Arabidopsis thaliana: one gene and its partners. The protein of the gene in region 3 interacts with the protein of the main gene of each other region in a biochemical or structural test. Each region holds a gene or a part of one and is shown on either strand. Other genes may lie near its edges. The genes, in order: CPK6, CPK33, FD and CPK4.

Region 1 (6,051 bases), on a different chromosome or scaffold from region 3:
CAAGCTCAGCAAAGTTTGAGAGGTTTATGAAGATATTAGAGACGCTAGATTTATTTATATAGATGGTAGGAGGCGGCATAACTCAAAACCCTAATCTTCTACGTGTGCGTACATGTATTGTTTAGTTTTATTATATTTTTAATCTTTGATATATGAGGATGTGCTTTATTTTCTCGTAACGACTGATTTAATGATCTTTTTTAATTTACTTTGTAGACGAAATTTGACCAATCTATTTCACCATTTTTCGGAAAACTAAATAAAAGGTGACATAAATAACTCACTGCATGTGGTGTGAAATGTATATACATTAATACATACGAACATACGATGCATATATATAAATAAGTGGGAGCACATGGTTTCCCTGTCATGTTCCAATCCACCACATTGGGACCAATGTATGATTGATTGTTTCGAACAACCTTAAGTTTGGTTCTAAGACATCACTTTGATTACATGATTGAGACTTAGTAGCTATCATCATACAGTATTCCACATTTTACATCAATTATTGCTCTTTTATTACATAAATTTTTGTGTATATACACACACTCATGTGTTCATATGTACATACATGTTTATGTACTTACAGATTCAGATGTAATTAGAGAAAGAAATTAGTGGACAGAAACTTGTAACATAGTAGTTGACTAGTTGTATTAATGTTGTCGCTATGACTCCAATTTGGAAGTATGCATGTGAGAAAAGACGACCAAAGCCGAGCTAAAAAGTTTAACAAACCAAAGTGAAGAGTATGCGTTTGTGTACTAACAACAGCAACAACAACTAAAAGGTGGAAGATTGTCACACAACTTGTATATCACATTTGTACTATATTGGAAGATGATTTGATCTTTCAAAAACCCAAAAAGGGTCAAAGCTTTCGACGATGGAGATGAAATAAAAACCAAACTTAAACAGTTGTTACAAACAAACAAAACAGAGAGAGAGAAAATAGAAATAGTCCTCACAGCTACTGATGAACAGAACTTAACACTTTTTTTTTATCTTTCACCATTTTTTAATCATACAGTAGTTTTTAACATTTTTAACTCAAACCTTCAACGATTTAGCTGGTTCGCTGCAGCTATGAATCTGGTTTCTCTTCCTCCTCTGTGATTAAACATTGCAAATGTTGATTCCATGGAAACATTTGCATCCTCACCGAATAGACGATTTAAAGATGTGTGTATGTGCCTACACATCTCTCATGCTGATGTTTAGACTATTTTTCATTGTTCTTCTCCCTACACCAGCATTTCCCTTTTGCATCATCGCAACAAATTCTTCGTAATCAATCCGTCCATCCTGTAAGAAACAAAAACCAAAACTTTATTAGCAAACACCAATGGTGAAGAGTGGAAGAATCATGTCAAGAGGCAAAGCTTACGTTGTCTTGATCTACTTCTTTGATTATGTCTTCAAGAAAAACATCGGTCATCCCATGTTCAATGCAAGATTGTTGCAGCTCATCAATGGTGATGTAACCACTTCCATCTTTGTCAAAGTACTGAAATGCAGAGACAAGATGCTCTTCTCTCTCTAGTTTATTCAGATGGATCGTCGCTGCAATAAACTCGCTGTAATCTATTGTACCGCTGTTGTCCACATCAGCCTAAGATACAACACAGAGAGTATGGTTATTGTCATCTATATAGCGAAATGAACTAGTGTGCATATCTCAAAAGGATGCATTGTTACCGCTTCCATAAGATCTCGGATCTCGGTGTCTTTCAAGGTTGATCCATATCTTCTCAAGCCAGCTTTGAGTTCATCAAAAGTGATTGCACCGCTGTTATCAGTATCCATTGCCTCAAACATTGCTCTTAAACCCGCAATCTCTTCTTCTGAGAGGCTCTCAGCTATCACCTGATCATTCCATAATCACTAATATGAGTAAACATATCTCAAACGAATGTGATGCAGAGACAATAGAAGATTGAGTATAACTACAAACTGACCTTTAAAGCCATCTTCTTTAATTTATTCATTGCAGAAAACTGTTTTAGACGAGACAAAACAGCCGGGTCAAGTGCTCTATCCGGTGCAACTCCATTCTCACAGATCCATGGATGACCTGAAAAAAAAAGAGATACATACAAGAGATATAGTCTAATGTTGTGTGGCTGCCAAATGTAACCATTTATTTAAGTGTAATTGATTACGTACGCAAGACTTCATGAGCAGTCAAACGTTCAGAAGGACTAGAGCATAACATCTTCCGGATCAGATCTTTAGCACTGTCGGATATGACAGGCCACGGGTCTGTATCAAAGTCAATATATCCCTTCAACACAGCATCAAATATTCCTTGCTGTGTTTCTGATTTCAAAAACACAAAACCAAACTTCAGGAAACCTTGTCAATGGCACTAATTAAGAGAACGCATTGAAACAGCTATATCGCCCGCATACCTGCCCAGAAAGGCGGGACACCACTTAGTAAGATATAGAGTATAACACCAGCAGTCCACACATCAGCTTCTGGACCATAATGTTTTAGAAGAACCTCAGGAGCAACATAGTATGGACTTCCAACAACATCCTTGAATATTTGGCCTGATATTAGAGTAAGACTACACATTATGCAAAGCTGAAACATTTACATTCCCTTACTCATTTGATGAATAGAAAGTCACAGTAATGTATACTACAAAACACATCATGGTACTTAAATAGATTCAGAACAATGAGAAACTCGCAACTAACGCTTACCTGGTTTGAAGAAAACAGAGAGACCAAAATCAATGGCCTTAAGAGAGAAATCATCATCCTTATTAACCAACAAGAAATTCTCAGGCTTTAAATCTCTATGCATAACACCAAGAGAATGACACGCCTCAACAACACCGACAATGATCTTGGTCAACTCAGCAGCTTTCCTCTCGCTGTAATGACCTCTATGAATAATCCTATCAAACAACTCACCACCAGCACAAAGCTCCATCACAATGTGAACATACAAAGGATCCTCATAAGCTCCTTTAATAGTAACAATATTCTTGTGACCAGCTAAATGATGCATAATCTGAATCTCCCTCCTAACATCCTCAACATCTTCTTTAGATATCAATTTCCTCTTGGATATAGACTTACAAGCATAGTCAACACCTGTGGCAATATCAGTACACAAATACGTTGTCCCGAATTGTCCTTGTCCTAACTTACGACTCAACGTGTAAAGATCACGAATGTTAGGAGTCTTGTGACCAAGAACATAGTAAGATTGATTGTCAACGTTACGCCGCATAATGGGTTCTTTAACAGGAATCACAAGAGCTGGATTGGTGTTCTGTTTGGAGAAATCTTGGTCTGTAGTAGGAGAATGAACAGAGGAAACAGTAGTGGTGGTGGATTTGGAATTCTCCTCGGGCCTACTATGATTGCCCTCGTAGATTTTGTCCTTAAAAGAACCACGACATGAATTGCCCATGAAACAAACTCTCTCTATTTCACAACTTTTTTCACTTTCTTCTTCTCCTCATCCAACGAAACTGTTTCATGAACAAACATACACAAAAAAAATCAGATAAAGAGAAGCCAAAAAAGTATCAAACTTTGGAACGAAATCAAAGAACCCACATCAGATCAAGCTTCAAAAAACATAATTGTTTTGTAACATAATCAAAGATTAAAGAAAAAAAGACAAGAGCTCCTGAAAAGTCGTAGCTTTAAATGTTCATCGATCATTATAGATCCCAAAAAAGAATCAAAGACACAACAATAAATGAAGAAATCATTTGGTAATAAAAGAAACATGAGAAAACAGAGGATCTAGTACCGGAATATAGCAGAACAGCGAGAAGACGATGAAATGGAGACGAAGAAGAAATGGGAAAAACTCAAAAAAGGATAATTATTCGTTGATAGTTTTTGTTTAAGTCAATAACAAAAGAGAAAAAATGGTTTCTTTGTTATGTTATTGTTTAATAGTATATATCTCTATATGTGTTGCTGTTTCTGGTTGGGTAATTGGATTCGTTGAATCATTAGAGAGTGTTAAAAAGATTGATTCTTTTGTGGATTTGTGAAATGATGAAGGAGAGAGGATGGTGCAAAGAAGAAAGGTCTTTTACGCGGTTTCGTCTCACCTTCTTCATTCCTTAATTGCTTGTTTAATTAGTATTAATTTAAGGGATCATCATCTTTTACTGGTGTAATGATACTTAGTGCAAGTAGGGAGAATAAAAAATTGCAATAATTTGTTTAGGATAACTTATTATTAAGAGAATGATTATAAGCCTAACGTTATACTAGCTTTTTTTAAGAGTTGGATGTGCTTAACTTAGCTAACTACAAAATATTATTATTAGATGCATATAGTTAAGAGTTAATTTATGGTCTTGATTAACAGATCGAAACAATGGACAACTAAATTTGTTCTGAAAACTCAAGTTTTATTATGTTGACTTTTCACATTGGTTCATCAAAGATGTCACATTCTTTTTTACTTTTGCTAGTATATAGGCTTTCTTGAATAAACATTTTGGTATGTCTACGTTGAAATAACAACTAGTACAGTATAAATCAAACTTTTAGCACTGAAAGTTTTGCATAATTTTACCAATAATTAGTGAAGTATATAGGATATCACTTTTTTCTTACAAGAACTAAGGCATGGGGCATGTCATTGTCGGGTAGTGAGTAAGATCGCAGACTACAATTTGTCTCGCACGTGGTACAAATTTAGTTTGGGTGTACTTTTTTTTTCTTTTTGACATCACAGTATTGTACTTACAGTTTTTTTATTTTCCAATAGATAACTTTACAAACCGTGAATCATATCATTTAAAAAAAAAAATCGTTCTCTTAAACGGATAAGAAGCTAGACCTACTTTAAATTTTACATTGTCGAGTGTTCTTTAAAAGATCTTATCATATGTTCAAAATTGGGGAACAAAAAATTTCGAATTCCTAATGGTAAAAGCTTTCTCCAATAGTTTGGAGAGAGCGTAATTTCTATAAAGAATCTGAATACGATTATCGATTATATTAAAGTCCAAATACATAGAACGTACGAAGAGCATTAAACTTTGATCTACTTCTATAAAAACACTTAAAACATTTTCTATTTTCATAAAAAATCTCAACACCAAAAGATAAAACCTAGTACTATAAGAAAAGCTGAGTGTAATTTTTGGAATTTTCTCTTTGTTTTATTAAAATGCTTGGCCATAAGAAAATTCAACACAGCTGCCATAAAATATGAAGTTGATCTTACATAAATAATGTTTTAAGTTTCTGCTGGTTCTCATGTTGATAGAGATAAATCTACTCATCTAAGATTCACACTTATAATTTAGTTGCATCTACCAGTTCCTCTACTTGTAATGCTATTATTTCCACAATTGTATAATCACAGCTAAAATGAGAATTGGAGCAGAAATATTAAAGCTACCGCTAAATTTTGGATAATAACAATCATACAATAAATTCATGTAGCAGCAGAGTCAACCTACATGGCTACATACCAACACTAATGTTCATCAAATAACTGAAAATGCCAGATTCTAGTCCAATGGAAACATCATGTAATTTATTTATTTTAGAAAGAAAAACTATCTCAGAATTCTCTCTCTTACTCTTCAGCCATTTAGCCACTAGGATTATCAAGTCCTTCAGGAACCTTCCCAGGATAGTTTGTGGTCTCTGCAGAGTCAGTCCCCAGGTTCCTACACACCCAACACCATAATAAATAATCCAACACACTCTCAAATTATATTTATATTCTGTCAAAACTTATTGTAATTATTGCTTACCCTCGATCCACGATAACCATTGAGCGAAGCTCACAGTTGCTCAAACTGAACAAAGTTAAAGATGTTGATTAGTTAAACAGTTTCAAGTTATACAAATTGTTGGTGCTTGTAGACATCAAGTTTTTGTTTAAGCTCTTACTGTATAGACAACTCTTTCTTTAGGTCATCGCAACAATCCTTCCCGAAAGAACTCAAGAGACCGTGCAAGAAGCCACTGTGAGATACAATTGCGATCTCCTTCTCTTTCCTTGTCCATATCCTTCACAAAGCAAATGGCAGTAGAGAGATTC
Region 2 (5,298 bases), on a different chromosome or scaffold from region 3:
GCTATTGCAGTAGTTAAGATATCTTATCTTTCTCTGCTTGAAGGGTTTTGGAAAATGTTCTCCTCCTTGAGACATACACCCCTGACTCCATATCAGCTCTGCACAACATCAGGTGCGGGAATCTATTTTCCAGACATGTTTCTTTCCATGTATTTGATAAATCCATGACCCCGTCTCTCACCTCCAAGCATTATTGTATTTTTTTAGGAATTATCTAGTCGAGGCTACCGAGGAAGCTTCAGCTGCATACAACAAAGCGGTTTGTGTCTTTATCCTCTCTTACATTGCTTAGCACTAAACCCTTTTGTTCAGTCTTCATTGGCATTTTACTCCCGATTAATTAACCGAGCCTGCGAAATGACACACAGGTTACTCGGCTTAGAGAATATCAAGGAGTAGATCCGCATTTTGATACAATTGCCAGACAGTACCATGACATTGTTAAGGTACAAGCAAGTCATTACTTAAGTCATTTCACCTTCTAAATTTGATTTGACTTGTGGGAATACAACAACACGAATTATAATGAGAGCTTTCATGGTTTTGCAGAAACTGGAAAATATGCAGTGGACCATTCATCAAGTAGAAATGGACCTTAAGTCTCATGACTGATCACTAGATTTGTTAACACTTGTGATATATGTATTAGCAAATCTAATCCTCCAAGAAAGATTGAACTGGGAGAAAAAATCAGTATAATTTAAATATACATCTAGCTATGTGGTCCACTACTTGTAATCTACTTACATTGTGTTATCTTCCTCTGTTATATACTTTTATTGGTCCTTCAAACCAAATGAGATGACCAGTTTAGCAGTACCAAAATAAATGAAAGCAATCATCTCTCTCTCTCTCTTTTCAACCTTAAATTTTTGCCTAAACAACAATAATAATACCACTCTTGTCTTTTTTGATTAGATTCAGACAGAAGACAAATAAAATATGTTAGAACAATCTTGGTTGTTGTGGATTCCCACTTCTCATCATAGCACAAAACTCGTCATAGTTGATTCTACCGTCCTGTAACAAGAAACAAAATTTGAGGTCAGAGAAAGAAAACGAAAAACGTTACAAGGGCGAAGAGCTTTAATCTTTTGGCTTTTACATTATCAGCGTCGACATCAGACAAAATCTCTTTGATAGTAGCATCATCTCCCATTCCATATTCCTTCAAAGCAGCCTCTAGCTCGTCTGTCGTAATGTATCTATTAAACACATTTTCAGTAATAGTCTCATCAATCATTGCTAACAAATCTATTTACATTGCAAAATGATTCATACCAAAAGAAAGATCACTTACCCACTCCCATCTTTGTCAAAATGTTGGAAGGCTTTGTAAACGTTCTCATTACTTTCAAGCCTATGTCTATGCATTGTTGCAGTAATAAACTCAATGTAATCTATTGACCCATTTCCATCAACGTCAGCCTGAATCACAAAAACCCGAATAGGAGTTTTTAAACATTCAAGAAGTAAATGAACGATCTTGTCTTGATCAAAACTTACAGCATCCATGAGCTGTTTCACTTCAGCTTCAGTGAGTCTTGATCCCAGTTTGGCTAATCCTTCTTTCAATTCTTCGTATGTGATAGTACCACTATTGTCTGTATCTATATTAGCAAACATCGCCTTTAAGCCTTGTATTTCTTCCGTGTCAATGTTCTCCGCAATGACCTGTGTCAAAATCAATCTGTAAGATGAAAGGTACAAAGGACTGTCAAATCTGGCAACAAGGTGTAGAATCTTTGATCTAACCTTTAAAGCAAGTTTCTTTAGTTTATTCATCGCTCTAAATTGCTTCATCCTTGAGAGAACAGCACTATCAATAGGCTTATCCGATGCTTCTCCACCTTCTCTTAGCCATGGATGCTCTTCAAAAGGTAAAACATCAACCATATTGTCAACATTCAAGTAAGTATACAAGAAGTTACCATAACCAACAAAGAATAAGATCGTTTACTTACTAAGAACTTCAGCAGCAGAAATCCGTCTTTTCGGATCTTGTGTCAACATTCTACGTACCAAATCTTTAGCACTATTGGAAATTGAGGGCCAAGGTTGGGATTCAAAGTCGATTTCACCTTCCAATATAGCATCAAATATCCCTTTCTCCGTTTCTACATTCCCAAAGCCAACAATCCATACTCATACACACATGCAACTACATTCTTCTCAAATATATATGAATCGAAATAACCGATAATTTCATCGCATTTACCAGCCCAAAACGGAGGCACACCACTAAGTAGAATGTATAGTATAATTCCAGCACTCCATATATCGATTTCTTTACCATATCTCCGCTTCAAAACTTCAGGAGCAACATAATATGCACTCCCAACTATATCTTTATACACTCTCCCTGCAAAATAAACCATCATGAATGAACCAATTCCAAAAGACATATCACCAATACAACAAAAGATGTAATATACCTTCTTCGATAAAGACTGATAATCCGAAATCAGTGGCTTTGATAAGAGCCTTCTCATCTTTGCTAGATAACAAGAAATTCTCAGGCTTTAAGTCTCTATGCATCACACCCATGAAATGACAAATATTGACAACATTAACAATCTGTCTACAAACAGAAGCAGCTGCTCTCTCACTGTAATGTCCCTTTGCTAAAATCCTATCGAACAATTCACCACCAGCACAAAGCTCCATAACCAAATTCACAGCTTTCTCATCTTCATAAGCTCCTTTAAACTCAACAATGTTAGGTTGTCCACTCAAATGCTGCATAATCTGAATCTCTCTCCTCATATCTTCTTTATCACCTTTCGTCACAAGTTTCTTCTTGGAAATCGACTTGCAAGCGAATCTCTTCCCCGTCGACTTCTCTGTGCACAGATACGTTACTCCAAACTGGCCTCGACCCAATTCTTTGCTCAAAGTGTAGAACAGTTTCACGTCTTCGTACGGCTTCTCGAGTATAGCTGCAGCACCACTGTGTTTCGCTGGATTCCGCCAAGGTGGTGGTTGATTCGTTCCGGTGGATATTTTAGACGGATCTTGGTGGGTGCTCCTTCTTCTGTTCTCGATCTCAACTGATCTTTCACCATTTTGTTGTGGTTTCATCACCAATCCGTATTTCTTGGCTAAGCAATTCCCCATTGCCCGTTCGTCTTTGCTTTAGCTAAATAAGCTCAAAATATCACGACCCAGAGACCAAAGATCGAACCTTTCGTGAAAATTTGCAGAGAATCAGGGATATAAAACAGAGAAATAAGCAAAGGTTTGATCTTTTTTTTGGGTGGGTTTATACTAGAAGACGTATAGGCTACAATTCAGCAACTAAGGACAACGAACTTGGTTAATCAAGCAAAGATTTGTGTTTAAGAGATTTAGAACAAATGATTGTTTGGAAAGTTGAATTGCAGAAGAATCATGAAAAGTTGGGGAAGAAGAAGTTACAAAGTAGTGGAGGGATCTCTAAAGGTCGGCTTTTTGGGGCAGCTGTGGAGTTTAGTTTGTTCGTGAAATTAAATTGACAATTTTTTTAACAAGACAAGTCAATTTCTTTTGTGACTTTTTTAATTTTCTTTGGCCAGATTTTCCAGTTTTGTTGTCTAGCCTTCTTAGCTAATATGTACGCCATTGTGTTCTCCTTCCCATTAACGCGCATAAATCTATAAGAAACCTTTGCCATGATCATTATATCTTTAATGTATCCTTGAATTTCCAACGGTCCATATGATTTTTGGCGCTGTTCTATTGCCCTCTCCAAGTGACCATATAAGATATTCGAGTCCTCGCAAAATATGACACCCTGATAGCTCAGCCGCTTCATTTGAAATAGAGCCTCCCTCAATGTTATGGCCGATTGAAAAGAGTCGATGAAGGTCGCTTTTAGAGTCTGTCTAAATTTTGTAACGTGATATAGTAATTCTTCTTTTGTGCCTTTTAAATTTCTGCTTTGAACTTTTATCGATTTTCTTTTGTGCATACTAGTTGAAATCGTTAAAAATCAGCATTATTCTAAAAATTGGGGGTTCTTAGTGAATTTCTTAACATAAAATACCACAAAATATTCAAAAGAGAGCGAGGAAGGATAGGTTCAAGTTCTTGTTTACCCTCCATATGCCACTTTTTTTCTAATATAGTATATAATCATCAACAAAAGTTTCATGGCTCATGGAGGATGGACCTACTATCGATGAACAGAAAAATGAATAATCAAAACTTCCCTAAACACATATCAATACGTGATGATACTATAACCAACAGTAACGTTTTCATGTCTTTGCTCCTACGTTTATGGCCACACTACTCAGGAAGATTCCCACCAAATTTTCAAACCTTACCTACATATCTAACAATCGTGGTTTAGGTGGACAATCGATGGACCAAGTCTCTGTTGGTTTCCAGTTCATTCGCAGTGTAAGTTGTTACTGCTGGAAAATTTCAAAGGTGGGAAGAACAGGAAAGAGTAGAGCCGTAAAACCATGGGAGACAACGAAGAAGAAGACCAATACAAGGAAGACAGCAAAAATGAAGAAAAAATAGATGAGGAAGCAAATTAGCAATGACAGTAGAACCATGCTGTGTCCAACAGGATTTACCTGTGTTGCCATGGTGTCTCCAACAGGAGGACAATTCTCGCTAGGTGTAACCAATAAAAGATACAAGCTACCAAAAATCTTTACAAAACAAAGTAAACAACTTGTCGCAATAGAAGTTAAAGATACACACAGCTTAATGGTACGAGAGTAAAAGATGCATAAGTTTATCCCAGAAACGGTAAAGAAGTTTGCAGATAAATAGAAAGTTGAGTAGAATGTCATTATACAAAGGAACATCCCGTTACATCTGCCACTACTTGGTCCTAAACAGTAAACACACAAAAAAAAACAAGATTTTACCAAAACACATATCAATAACAACTTAAACTTAGTAGGATGGGAAAATTTTAGAGCTTACGAATCTAATAATGGTTTAGGGTGGACACGGTAGACCGTTTCAATCCCTCGAAGGTAGCGAACGGCAGCTTGAAAAGTAATGGGGTCAGTGTGAGAATTAGCATCCTTGGCCTCGAAGGTGATGTAGAAAATGAATCCGGCTCCATATTTCCGATTAGCCTTGACAGCTCTCACAAGTTCAAGATTTTCCAGCTTATCATCATTGTATTTCTGAAGAGCAATCTTGGATAATCTATGAACCAAATCTCCGTCGGTTTCGGGTTTATGAGCAACGTCACTATCCTCGAAGATAACAGGATAGCAAAACACAAGGCGTCTTTGTTTCGTGGTGTCAAAGTCGTAATACTACAGACAACAATCACATTCATGAGAGAAG
Region 3 (4,811 bases):
TTCCAAAGGATGGAAAAATACTTGAGGAGGAAGGTGATGCATCAAAAGCTTAATGACTTTTGCTTTTGCACCCAAAAAGAAATAAAATGGTCAGAGTGAAGGTATCAGCTTGTATCTGCAGCAACTTATCAATGGTTCGTTCTGTCCTCTGTACTAGTTACCTGATCATCTCTTCTAAACTCTCTTTTAGGCTTGTGGCCAAGTTCTGGTAGCATTTTTAAGTATGAATGTTTGATGGGAAACATTGATGTAACCAATTGAAAAACATTATAGGTGTGTAGTTTCAGGTGAATAAACCAACTTTTTCGTTTAAAGTTTCTTGAAGTCTAGGATTCTTATTGACTGGAATGAAAGTAGAAGCATGATTTAAAGTATTGGATGCCTATTTGAGGGGCTCTAAGTGTAACCATATAATGTGAGGATAGATTCTAGTCATAGTCCCACTTTTGGTAACTATTCTTCTTTATCTTAATGTCCACTATATTTACACCATATTAGCTCTTGATGTCCACTTTTGGTTGCTTAAAAGAATACACAGCAATATATCAACAACCAAAAGTGGATCAACAAGACTTATCACTGTCAGGTAAATGAAATTGGGCCAAAAGAAGATAAAAACTATTCTCTTGATAAACCAAATGAATACAAACACACCTAGTGTTTTTGATGGTGACCAGTTAGAGCAAAAGCTACAATACTATGTACTATGAATATAAATAAAACGTGGGGAGTGACCATGCTGAATAAGAAACTTATCATGTTCTCTCTTGACCAACCCGAAAAGTGGTGAACTTAATTCCCATTGGCTTGGAGGTTTCAAAATCATATTGCAAGTTGTTGGCTTGTATGGTAGACAGCCAAAGGATTGGATATTTATGTGATAATGTGATAGGGAGAAAATTAAATGTTCAGTGATAGGTCCCCTTCTCACTTTTCTCTGGTATTGTCATCATTTAAGTGGAGCACTGTTTTGTCTATTGGTCATTTGATCCTTTGCTTCTTTTAAGAACCAAATTGGTTAAACAGTAAAACATAAGGTTTTTTTTCTTACTAGTATTAGAAGAGGAAGTAGAACATTACTACAACAAGAATACAAGTAGAAGTTAGTACAGAAGTGAAAAAAGGGTTTGCATAGGAAAACGACAGAACATTAAGAGAGGACCCAGGACAGGTGTTCCTGTGCCTTAGGAAATTGAAAGATCCTTTTCTCTTTCCGGGTCTTTTGTTTTACATCTTCTTTTTTCCCCTACAATATCTTAGTTCTACAATTTTAGGCTTAGTTATACTTATAGCTAATAAAAAAGGGTACAAACTTTTGCCATTTTTTCACTTCTTCATGAGACAATCTCAATCCCCAAAAGAGAAACAAGGACTTGTAGATTTCTCAAAATGGAGCTGTGGAAGACCGTTGAAGTGTGTTCTTTTTGGGTTGCTGAATTGCTGCAGCCATTTTTAACTGCACACACACACACACATAATAAACACACAACTGAAGTATCAGAATCTAACCACCCAAAATGTCATTGGACAAAAAAGTGTGTAAAACAAATATACTCCAGAGGCTGTCTGTCTGTCTCTTTTTATAAGTTGGTTAAACTACAAGGAATTGATCTAATGACATGAGTGCTACAAAAGGGTAAAACATTAAGAACTTGGCTCTGCTTGTTTACCTGATCTTGTTGTCTCTTGAGTCTTGCATTTTCTGCCTGCAAGTGAGCAACTTCAAGTTCTAACTCGTTTGTATAAGCCTGCAAATGAGAATCAAAACCAAGAGACCTTTTTTTAGATCAAAAGCAATTTGATGGCAAAACCACATTTCTTTTCTTCCCTTTTTGATACACATGAGTAGAAGAAGATTAGGAGGGAAGAGGAGAGGCACATTCCTGTTTCCTAGCGCGGGAACGAGCTGCAGATTCTCTGTTCTTGATCATACGCTTATGTCTTCTATTCCCTGAACCTTCATTGGAATCTTGGCCTCTTTTCTTACCAAAAGAACTGGATGGAACCAGAGCCTCGAAAGAGGTGTTGAAGGCATGAGCGTTTGAGAGGTGATGGTGGGTATGAAGATTAGAGTTTGAGGTAACAAGAGGATCTTGGTTATCGAGAAACTCGAAGCCAGCGCCGGAATTCAAGCTCAGAACAGTTGCAGGAGGTGGAAAAGGAGAGCTGTAAAGAACAGTGACCGTGGTGGAATCGCCATTAGGCGCAGAACCCGTGGTCTGGCTTGTGGGTGCTGGTTCCTGGTTCAAAGATCCTTTGAGAAAATCTTGGAAGATTGAGTTAGGGTTTTGGTTGTGGTGGTTTTGGCCCCTGAACCTTGGCTCGTGGTTGTGTTGTGGATGAGGGCTGTGTCGGTTTAGGTGGTGGATGGAAGCAAGGTTGATGTCATTCCAAACTTCTTCCATGGTGACAAGAGATCTCTTCTGGGCTTGAGAGTCTTGAGAAGGTAAAGGAGATGATGATGAGGTTGATGATGATGAAGAAGAAGACGATGGTGATGAGGATGAAATGGAAGAAACTTTGGTGAGAGTCTGGTTCTTGTTTGTAGCAGAGAGTCTATGGTTTCTCTGATGCTTAGCTGATGACAACATTGGAAAAGAGAACAGAAGTGAACCAACAACACAGCTTTAGTCTTTGGTTGTCAATTGTCTAGTAGTATCCTACACGCAGAGAGGGAGTAGAGAGAGAAAGTGGTGAGAGCTCAGAGAGAGGTTCTTGACTTTAGCCGGTCATTTCTGGAATGATGGGGTTGGGTCCAAGACTCCAGAAGAAGAGACAGAGGGATTGAACTATTTCCAATTAAATAATATATTTCAAGAAGAAGAAGAGAAATTCCATAAACTATTATATGTAATTAAAGGTGTTTGTTGATGTCTTCAACGTCAGAGTTATTATAAAGATTAAAAATGGTGTTTGATTATTTCAAAAGTGAAGTATTTTTCATCATCCTTAAATGTAAAGAGTGAGTGGGGGTGAGATGCTTGTAAAAAGCCAGGCAAATATATAAAATTATTTTTGGTTTTATCTCACTTTCTATTTTCTAATATCAAATCCCTTTGGATCACTTTCAACTTTCATGTGTGACTTTAATTTTTGTTCTTGCTCTTAGATTTAAGGAAAATTTGCCAAAATACACTTTTTTCCCCTAAGGGTATTGACGAAATAAAACATTAAAAACAAAATGAAAGTAGATAAGAATATATACATCTTTCTGTATTAGAAATAATTAAATAAATTCGTTTAAATATATAATAAAACACAAAATCCTAACTACTATACCAATAAACTCAAATGTAAAAATTTCTTCTGTTTTTTTTTTGTTTTTGGCAGCAAACATTAATTCCGTTAGAATATTTCATTCCTCTTTTCTTGATGTGGTTAATATATTTTAAACGAAGATAGAATAATATTATCGAATATAAAAAGTAGTACTTGGGTGTTCGTATATGTAATTTGTTTCTATCAAAACTAAAAGTCTGAAAATTATATGTTTGATTAGTACAAAAAAACTTTATTTTATATGAGATTCGGAGTGTTTAAGAACGGGTCATTTGCACTTAACGTTTTCTTAAATATGTAGTTGCAAACATTTCAAATAATATCGACCGTATAGTTGAAATGCATTTAAATAACAAAAATATTGTTAACTATTGAATTGTTCCCCACTTCAAATCATTGGTGTTCATGTCATCCAACGAGATTTGATCAAAGTGTCAATAGTCTGTTTTACAATACGGATAGGGAAATCAATTTATGTGGGTCTCCAACTCTGAACAAAACAAACATTACAAGTGGATAGTAAAGTATTAGATTTTATATGACCAATATAGTTTAGATATTTATGTTGATTGTTTTGAAGATTAGAGACGAATACTAAACTAGTTAATAATTAAGCCAAGTAGAAGATGATACATATTAATAAATCTTTGATCATACGTAATAAACAAATAATATGAGTACCATCCAGATATCTAGATATTCGATTATCGTATCTACTATGTAAGTCAGTCTCCAAGTGCATATCTAGTCACGCTTTTCAAATTTTTCCTTTATTGCAAGTTGATTATATATAAACTATAATAACATACGATATTTGTTTTTCTTTCCTCTTCTCTTATTCTATTCAACAAGATTAACTATTCATTTCCGTACATGTATATAATTTTTTTTCTCTGAATGTTGAAATCAGCCCTCAAGGAAACGTCCCATCTTTTGAACATGCAAAGAGTACTACATTAGGAGCTGTTTATCGAAAATGCAAGCTCCTCAAATACTCATATTTGTTAGAAGATATATATTTTCCATTTGTTGGTGAAAAGTACAAAGACTTTAATTTGTTTACATGTTTCCAAACATTGGGTTTCAAAATACATTTTGAGTTTTTAATGTGAAACACAAATTTCATAGATCTTTGTTGTCGTTTCGCAACCACCAAAAATTCGAATGTAAAGAGTAGTACTTTTGTTAGTATCGACGTCACTACGCATATTCATTGACGAAAATAAAACAAATTTTCCCAGTCTCAAATCATTTTTGCAAAATAAACTCAAAATAAAGTTGGGGTATAGTCTGTAACGAGTGAATTCAAATGTCCATTGTATCATAAAATTGTGCAGAGAACTTGTAAGTTGTATAAGAAAGGAGTGTGACATGTCACGTCTCAGGGGATTGGACAGGTGTCAGCACTATATTGCTCTGTCCCAAACTCCATCAAATCTATTTCTCTGTCTTTTAATATCCTCTTTAGTTTACTTTTAAACAATGCATATAAATGGAAACAAATTCTGTTTTAGCAAGTTATATAAAATTTT
Region 4 (5,994 bases), about 11 Mb from region 3:
TATGTCATTGCTTGCTGGAGCTCTTTTCGGTGTGGTTAGAGGTTTTGTTCTTGTTGTCCTTAATGCAACTGCTGGAGCATGTTCTTGCTTCTTCTTATCGAAATTGGTCGGTAGGCCATTGGTTAACTGGTTATGGCCTGAAAAGTTGAGGTTTTTCCAAGCTGAGGTAAGTTCTTTTGTGTTTGATTAGTATTTAGTAATGTCTCTTGTTCTGAAAGCATTAATGTCTTGAAATCTTCAATGGGTCAGATTGCGAAAAGAAGAGATAGGCTGCTAAACTACATGCTGTTCTTAAGGATAACACCAACACTTCCAAACCTCTTTATCAATTTGTCTTCTCCAATCGTTGACATACCCTTTCACGTCTTCTTTTTGGCGACTCTAGTCGGTCTTATGCCAGCTTCGTACATCACAGTTAGAGTGAGTCTATTGTTCAATCTCATTCCGCTGTTCTTTCGTGTTTAAGAGGCTAACATTTACTTTCATTTACACAGGCTGGTTTGGCTCTTGGAGATCTCAGATCAGTAAAGGATTTGTATGATTTCAAGACCTTGTCAGTGCTGTTCCTCATTGGATCCATCTCCATATTCCCTGCCCTTCTAAAGAGAAAGAGAGTATATGAATGAAGAGTCGAAGACTGAAGAGTATAATCATTTATATAGATATTGATGAGCAGCACCTTTCAGTCGCATGGCAGCATTTCAAAGGTGTTTATGAGCTCAAGATAAAAGAAGAAGATTGTTTCTGCAACATCGCGGAGCTTAAAATCGCTAACTCTGGCTTTGATTTGTTTATTGTCTTCGATTTGAGAGCTTCTCTTACCCCCTTGTAGTAGTAAGTGTTTGTGTAGCTAGTTTACTGAATCATGATTGGCTTTGTATATTGAATACTTGATTCAGAGATCTGACTCTGCAGCCTATTGGCTTATGTATAACAAACATGATTATGTAAATGCTTGAAGACATTGCTTTGACCAAATATGGGTGATTCTGATCATATAATGGTTCTATACGCAGAAAATATGAAGCAAAATTATCCATGCTTATAACAAAATTGAGAAAGTTGCTCATCTACAAAAGTGGAAACGAAAACAAAAAGGAAAGATTCAGTTTTTCTTTTGTGAGTTCTCATTTCTCAATTCCAAGTATATAGATGATTATAATTACTTTGGTGAATCATCAGATTTAGCAGTGCTGCTTGTGTCCTCAACTCCAAAAGCTTCAGCTATATTGAAGTTCAAGTTGTTCCTCATAGTTCTGCTCCTCCCAACACCATCTCCTTTCTTCATCATAGCAGTAAACTCTGAGAAATCAATCTTCCCGTCCTAACAAAACCACATATTTTCATCATCAGTTTTAAACCAAACTCACTAAGAAACAAGACAAAGGAAACAGATCATGAAGGCTTCTTACATTATCAAGATCAATCTCTTTGATCATGTCATCAAGAGGAGTGTCACAGAGACCAAACTCTGTGCAGGCTTGTTGAAGCTCGTCAATGGTGATATAACCGCTACCATCTTTATCAAAGTATGAAAACGCAACCACCAAGTTCTCTTCTCTCTCCATCTTGTTTATATGTAATGTCGCTGCTAGGAATTCACCGTAGTCTATTGTCCCACTGTTGTCTATATCCGCCTGCAAAACACCATTTAAGCTTTGTGATTCCTAGAAGAACGGAGAAATCAATATTCTAAAAGAGAGTTTTTGTTTTGGTATAATTACCGCATCCATAAGAGACTTGATTTCTGATTCCATCAATTCAGATCCAACTCTCTTTAGACCTGCTTTAAGCTCTTCAAAGGTGATTGTTCCACTGTTGTCTGTATCTATCATTTTGAACAATTCCTTCAGACCACCAATCTCTTCCTCCGAGAGTCTCTCCGCGATTACCTAAACCGGGAAATCAGTTCTTGAATATAAGCAATGGCATTGAGAGTTTAAAGAACTATAGCTTTCCAACTTATAAGGCCATTTACTTAAGTTTATTCATTTCCTGAAAATAGTTCTTAAAATGTGTTATCTTAGTCGATCTTCCTAACAGGGAAATCAGTTCTTGAAAATAAGCAATGAGAGTGGAGACTAAAGGGCTACAACTTTCTTACTCGTAAGGCCATTTTCTTGATTTTATTCATTTGCGAGAACTGCTTAAGTCGCGACAAGACTGCTGGGTCGAGAGGCTTGTCTGGTGCAGCATGTTCATCAACAATCCAAGGGTGACCTAATAATATCATCAGAGGAAAACTCAATTCTTATATCTTACAGAAATGAACAACAAAATACATGTAGCAGAGAGGAAAACAATCATAAGTAACAACTTACACAATGCTTCATGTGCAGAAATACGTTTCTTGGGGCTCCTATCGAGCATTTTGTAAATCAAATCTTTAGCACCTTCTGAGATAGTAGGCCACGGATCAGATTTAAAATCTATCTTCCCTTGCAATATCTGCCTAAAGATTCCTGACTCGGTTTCTGCAAACAAATTACTCATGGATGCTTAAATCACATAAGCAATATACTTGATTCAGTAGTAACAACGGTACTAGCTTTCACAAACTTACCTGCCCAAAAAGGAGGAACCCCACTTAGTAAGATGTACAAGATAACACCGGCGCTCCACACGTCTATCTCTGGTCCATAACATTTCTTCAGAACCTCAGGTGCAACATAATACGGACTTCCAACTACATCATACAGATACTGCCCTGAAGATGCAAACCCACACAATTGAAAATTTTGTTAAGCACTGAAATTAGTCGGACACAATGTAGCTCTGATAGCATCATTACATAAGCATAAGTAACACAACAAAACTATGTAAATCTTGCAAGAAAAGATTCAGAAAGATCTAGCCACAGAAAATTATTGGTTCTCTAACAATGCTCAAGCAGCAAATTGGAAATGACCATTCAACAAATGATTCTACAGATAACATATCATGAAACCGATTTTCAACACCAAACAAGACATTTCTCAACATAATCTAGACAATGAATCGAATAAAATCTGATAAGATCGCTTCATAACCATAAGCATATGTTACATATATAACAAAACCTTGCACAATCAACACATCCATATATATCAACTAAATGTCAAAACCAGATATAACAAAATTCAATCTTTCCCTAACAATGCTCAAGCAGCAAATCCGAATCAAGAAACCAAATCAAAACATTTCCTTGAACCAACCAACAAAGACAAAAACCATAAGATTCCAATCAAAAGAGAAGAATCAACAACGAACCTGGCTTGTAGAAGACAGACAAACCAAAGTCTGTAGCTTTAAGCTTAGCATCATCACTGGGACTATCAAACAAGAAATTCTCAGGCTTAAGATCTCTATGCATAACACCAAGAGAATGACAAGCCTCAACAACACCAAGAATAGTCTTAATCAACTTAGCAGCTTCACGTTCACTAAAACACCCTTTAGAAACAATCCGATCAAAAAGCTCACCACCTTCACAAACTTCCATAACAATGTGAACAAAAACAGAGTCTTCATAAGTACCCTTGATTCTAACAACATTAGGATGCTCAGAGAGATGATGCATGATCTGAATCTCACGCCATACATCTTCGTAGTCTTCACGACATACAAGCTTACGTTTTGGGATTGATTTGCAAGCGTAATTAGCTGATGATGATTTCTCTGTACAGAGATAGGTTGTTCCAAATTGGCCTTGGCCTAGCTTTTTGCCGAGGAGATAGTGATCTCTTAATCTTGGTGTTTCGTATGGAAGAACACTGTTTGAGGGTCTTCTAGGGTTTGGTTTCTCCATTGTTCTTGATTTCGAAAGTCTCTGCCTTTTTTTGGTGTTTATCAAAGGAGGAGGAGGAAGATGATACGAAGTTACGAACCCTTCAATGTTTCTTGGTCATGTTGACTCGTCTTATGCAATTATTATATTATTATTGCTCTTTTGTTATCCCGTGACCATTTACATTTATAGTATTTACCAACTATTATTGCAAATTTGCAATAAATTGAATTGATGAAAAAAATCTATTGATCTTGACCAAAAAAAAAAGAAAAAAATCTATTGAAATATAGGGACTAGGCTTGAGATTTTTACACAAATGGTTTGGTCATTTAGGTTCGGATTCGGTTATTAGATGTGAATTAATTAGCAGGATTTTAGATGGTTTTGTTATCCAATTTTTTTTTGTTGTTACTTTTGAATTAATTTTTCTAACCAAAGTAAGTCGGATTATATTAACATTATTAATAAAATCGATAACCAAATCGAATCAAATTTTTTATAATTTGTTTATTAGATCTTAAATACATAAATCCGATAGATCTGAACAAAAAACCAATCAGACTCGACCAAAAACAATGTCCAACAAAAGTATGCGTTACATTTCTCTTATATTTATTAAGATTATTAGGTAAATTGTGTTCAAAAAAAAAAAAAAAAAAAAGGTAGATAACCATTTATAGAGATAAATTTGTGCATGATATTTTTTGCAAGTATCAAGTATGTATGGATTTTATCAATAAAACATGATATTATCAAAAAAAATAACATGATATTTTATTTATGTAAGACATTAAAATATATGTGTAAAATCCATCCACTTAAATTATTTAATAAACAGAAAAAAGGTTGGTTCTCAATTTGGCTACTAAACATTATGTCTTAATTGGGAACATGATTTTTTAAAAATCTATATGATTTTTTTTTCCCCTAAAAATCTATATGATATAAAGAGAAAAGGTCGTAAATGGAAAACATATAAAATTCACCGACATGCATGCACACTAACCACCGAATGGACAAGAACCAATTTCTTCATATCATATTTGGTTTGGTTGAGAGTTCACACGGTTTTCGCAGCTTTTTGCAATGCACGACTACAAATTTTAAACCTCGCTCGTCGTGAAGACCACTCTTTCGTTTTGGAGCAATATTATAAAATAGACGTGGTACATGTTAATGTAAATGTAATTGTGTGAATGTCGTATAATACTATAATTTAACACAAAATTATTTCTCTATAATTGTAAAACAAAGTCCAATCAGCAATAAAATAAAATTTAAACCCGAACTATCTAAATACTTTTAAAAATCCATTTCTAATACTTATTACATTACGCCTTAACGATATTAAAATATGAAAAGCAATGTGTACCGATTCTTTATGGCTCTATCCAATCCATGGCTATGCAATATTCCTCATCTTTTGCAATGAGTTCCAACGTAGAAAGAAAATTTCAGGTATTATTTTGCATGCGTCGTTTTAGTACATGTATTCTTTATTTCATCGCCGTTGGGTAAGAGACCTAGATGTATAAGCTTTAGATATATTTATTTCATTGTTCATCTTCAAAATCTGACATCATTTGGAAAACCTCCAAAATCCATCTTTAACCAAACCCAAATAGCATCGGAGGACACTTTATTCATAAATGATGTTAAATAGATATTTTCTAAATAAAATTGGAACTTTATGCAGGCCCCTATTGGCCCATCTTTAAATAAGCTTGGGCTTTCAGCTTCTGTTTTTTTTTAATAAGATGTTCGTTTGATTATCTAGGTTGCTGCAACAGCGGCAGATGCAAGTAAGTGCGGCATAATGCTGCGGTCAACGCTTAAAAGTTGTATTATATATGATAAATGACAATTATACCCTTATTATGTTTGAGAAACTACAAACAAACCTAACTCTATTTCTTCTACTTCTTTTTCATCATTTCTCTCTTACACTCATCGATCTCAAACTCTTTGAAACCAATCTCTCTCCGCCGCCGCAATCTTGCGAAATATTATCCGGTGACTTGAGCTCAACTAGATCTCCCGTCGTTGGTTACTTCTAATACAACGTTGAATCTCTACTCCGAGGTACTTTCGTTATTCACTGACTGAAATCTCTTAAATATTTTGAGTTTCTTATTTATTTGTGTTCTCTTAGTTACTCTCAGCTTGATCGGTTTATTCAAAATTTCCAAATTCTATGTCTGTTTCTATATAATGGGTCTAAATGT

What was found.
Region 1: the proteins of FD (region 3) and CPK6 form a complex in vitro, tested with the Arabidopsis thaliana proteins (one study listed by BioGRID).
Region 2: the proteins of FD (region 3) and CPK33 form a complex in vitro, tested with the Arabidopsis thaliana proteins (one study listed by BioGRID).
Region 4: of the proteins of FD (region 3) and CPK4, one has a biochemical effect on the other in vitro, tested with the Arabidopsis thaliana proteins (one study listed by BioGRID).

The regions. Positions count from the first base shown.
Region 1 is NC_003071.7:7,514,389-7,520,439, reverse strand, and holds CPK6 (Calcium-dependent protein kinase family protein), read right to left. Parts: upstream 4,111-6,051; 5' UTR 3,784-4,110; exon of another isoform or gene 3,585-3,783; intron 3,497-3,584; 5' UTR 3,436-3,496; coding exon 2,718-3,435; intron 2,562-2,717; coding exon 2,418-2,561; intron 2,326-2,417; coding exon 2,173-2,325; intron 2,081-2,172; coding exon 1,965-2,080; intron 1,873-1,964; coding exon 1,705-1,872; intron 1,619-1,704; coding exon 1,394-1,618; intron 1,312-1,393; coding exon 1,201-1,311; 3' UTR 778-1,200; downstream 1-777. Other genes in the region: AT2G17280 (Phosphoglycerate mutase family protein), read right to left, coding at 5,596-5,674, 5,762-5,806, 5,901-6,020. UniProt on the Arabidopsis thaliana protein: May play a role in signal transduction pathways that involve calcium as a second messenger. Functions in abscisic acid (ABA) regulation of guard cell S-type anion- and Ca(2+)-permeable channels and stomatal closure. Phosphorylates FD.
Region 2 is NC_003070.9:18,780,033-18,785,330, reverse strand, and holds CPK33 (calcium-dependent protein kinase 33), read right to left. Parts: upstream 3,473-5,298; 5' UTR 3,118-3,472; coding exon 2,436-3,117; intron 2,363-2,435; coding exon 2,219-2,362; intron 2,118-2,218; coding exon 1,965-2,117; intron 1,872-1,964; coding exon 1,756-1,871; intron 1,675-1,755; coding exon 1,301-1,674; intron 1,206-1,300; coding exon 1,106-1,205; intron 1,021-1,105; coding exon 946-1,020; downstream 1-945. Other genes in the region: AUG4 (HAUS augmin-like complex subunit), read left to right, coding at 44-112, 208-259, 369-446, 550-612; AT1G50690 (Cystatin/monellin superfamily protein), read right to left, coding at 4,819-4,828, 4,924-5,267. UniProt on the Arabidopsis thaliana protein: Ca(2+)-dependent protein kinase. Negative regulator of stomatal closure and slow anion currents. Unable to phosphorylate THI1 in vitro, but the kinase activity is essential for the stomatal closure regulation. Phosphorylates FD.
Region 3 is NC_003075.7:17,002,526-17,007,336, reverse strand, and holds FD (Basic-leucine zipper (bZIP) transcription factor family protein), read right to left. Parts: upstream 2,816-4,811; 5' UTR 2,592-2,815; coding exon 1,884-2,591; coding exon of another isoform or gene 1,857-1,883; exon of another isoform or gene 1,749-1,856; coding exon 1,671-1,748; intron 1,457-1,670; coding exon 1,385-1,456; 3' UTR 1,029-1,384; downstream 1-1,028. Other genes in the region: AT4G35905 (Trm112p-like protein), read left to right, coding at 1-53. UniProt on the Arabidopsis thaliana protein: Transcription factor required for the transition to flowering promoted by FT.
Region 4 is NC_003075.7:6,047,353-6,053,346, reverse strand, and holds CPK4 (calcium-dependent protein kinase 4), read right to left. Parts: upstream 3,907-5,994; 5' UTR 3,788-3,906; coding exon 3,250-3,787; intron 2,708-3,249; coding exon 2,564-2,707; intron 2,475-2,563; coding exon 2,322-2,474; intron 2,221-2,321; coding exon 2,105-2,220; intron 1,893-2,104; coding exon 1,725-1,892; intron 1,638-1,724; coding exon 1,413-1,637; intron 1,325-1,412; coding exon 1,163-1,324; 3' UTR 967-1,162; downstream 1-966. Other genes in the region: AT4G09580 (SNARE associated Golgi protein family), read left to right, coding at 1-166, 250-420, 495-626. UniProt on the Arabidopsis thaliana protein: May play a role in signal transduction pathways that involve calcium as a second messenger. Functions as a regulator of the calcium-mediated abscisic acid (ABA) signaling pathway. Phosphorylates ABA-responsive transcription factors ABF1 and ABF4 in vitro.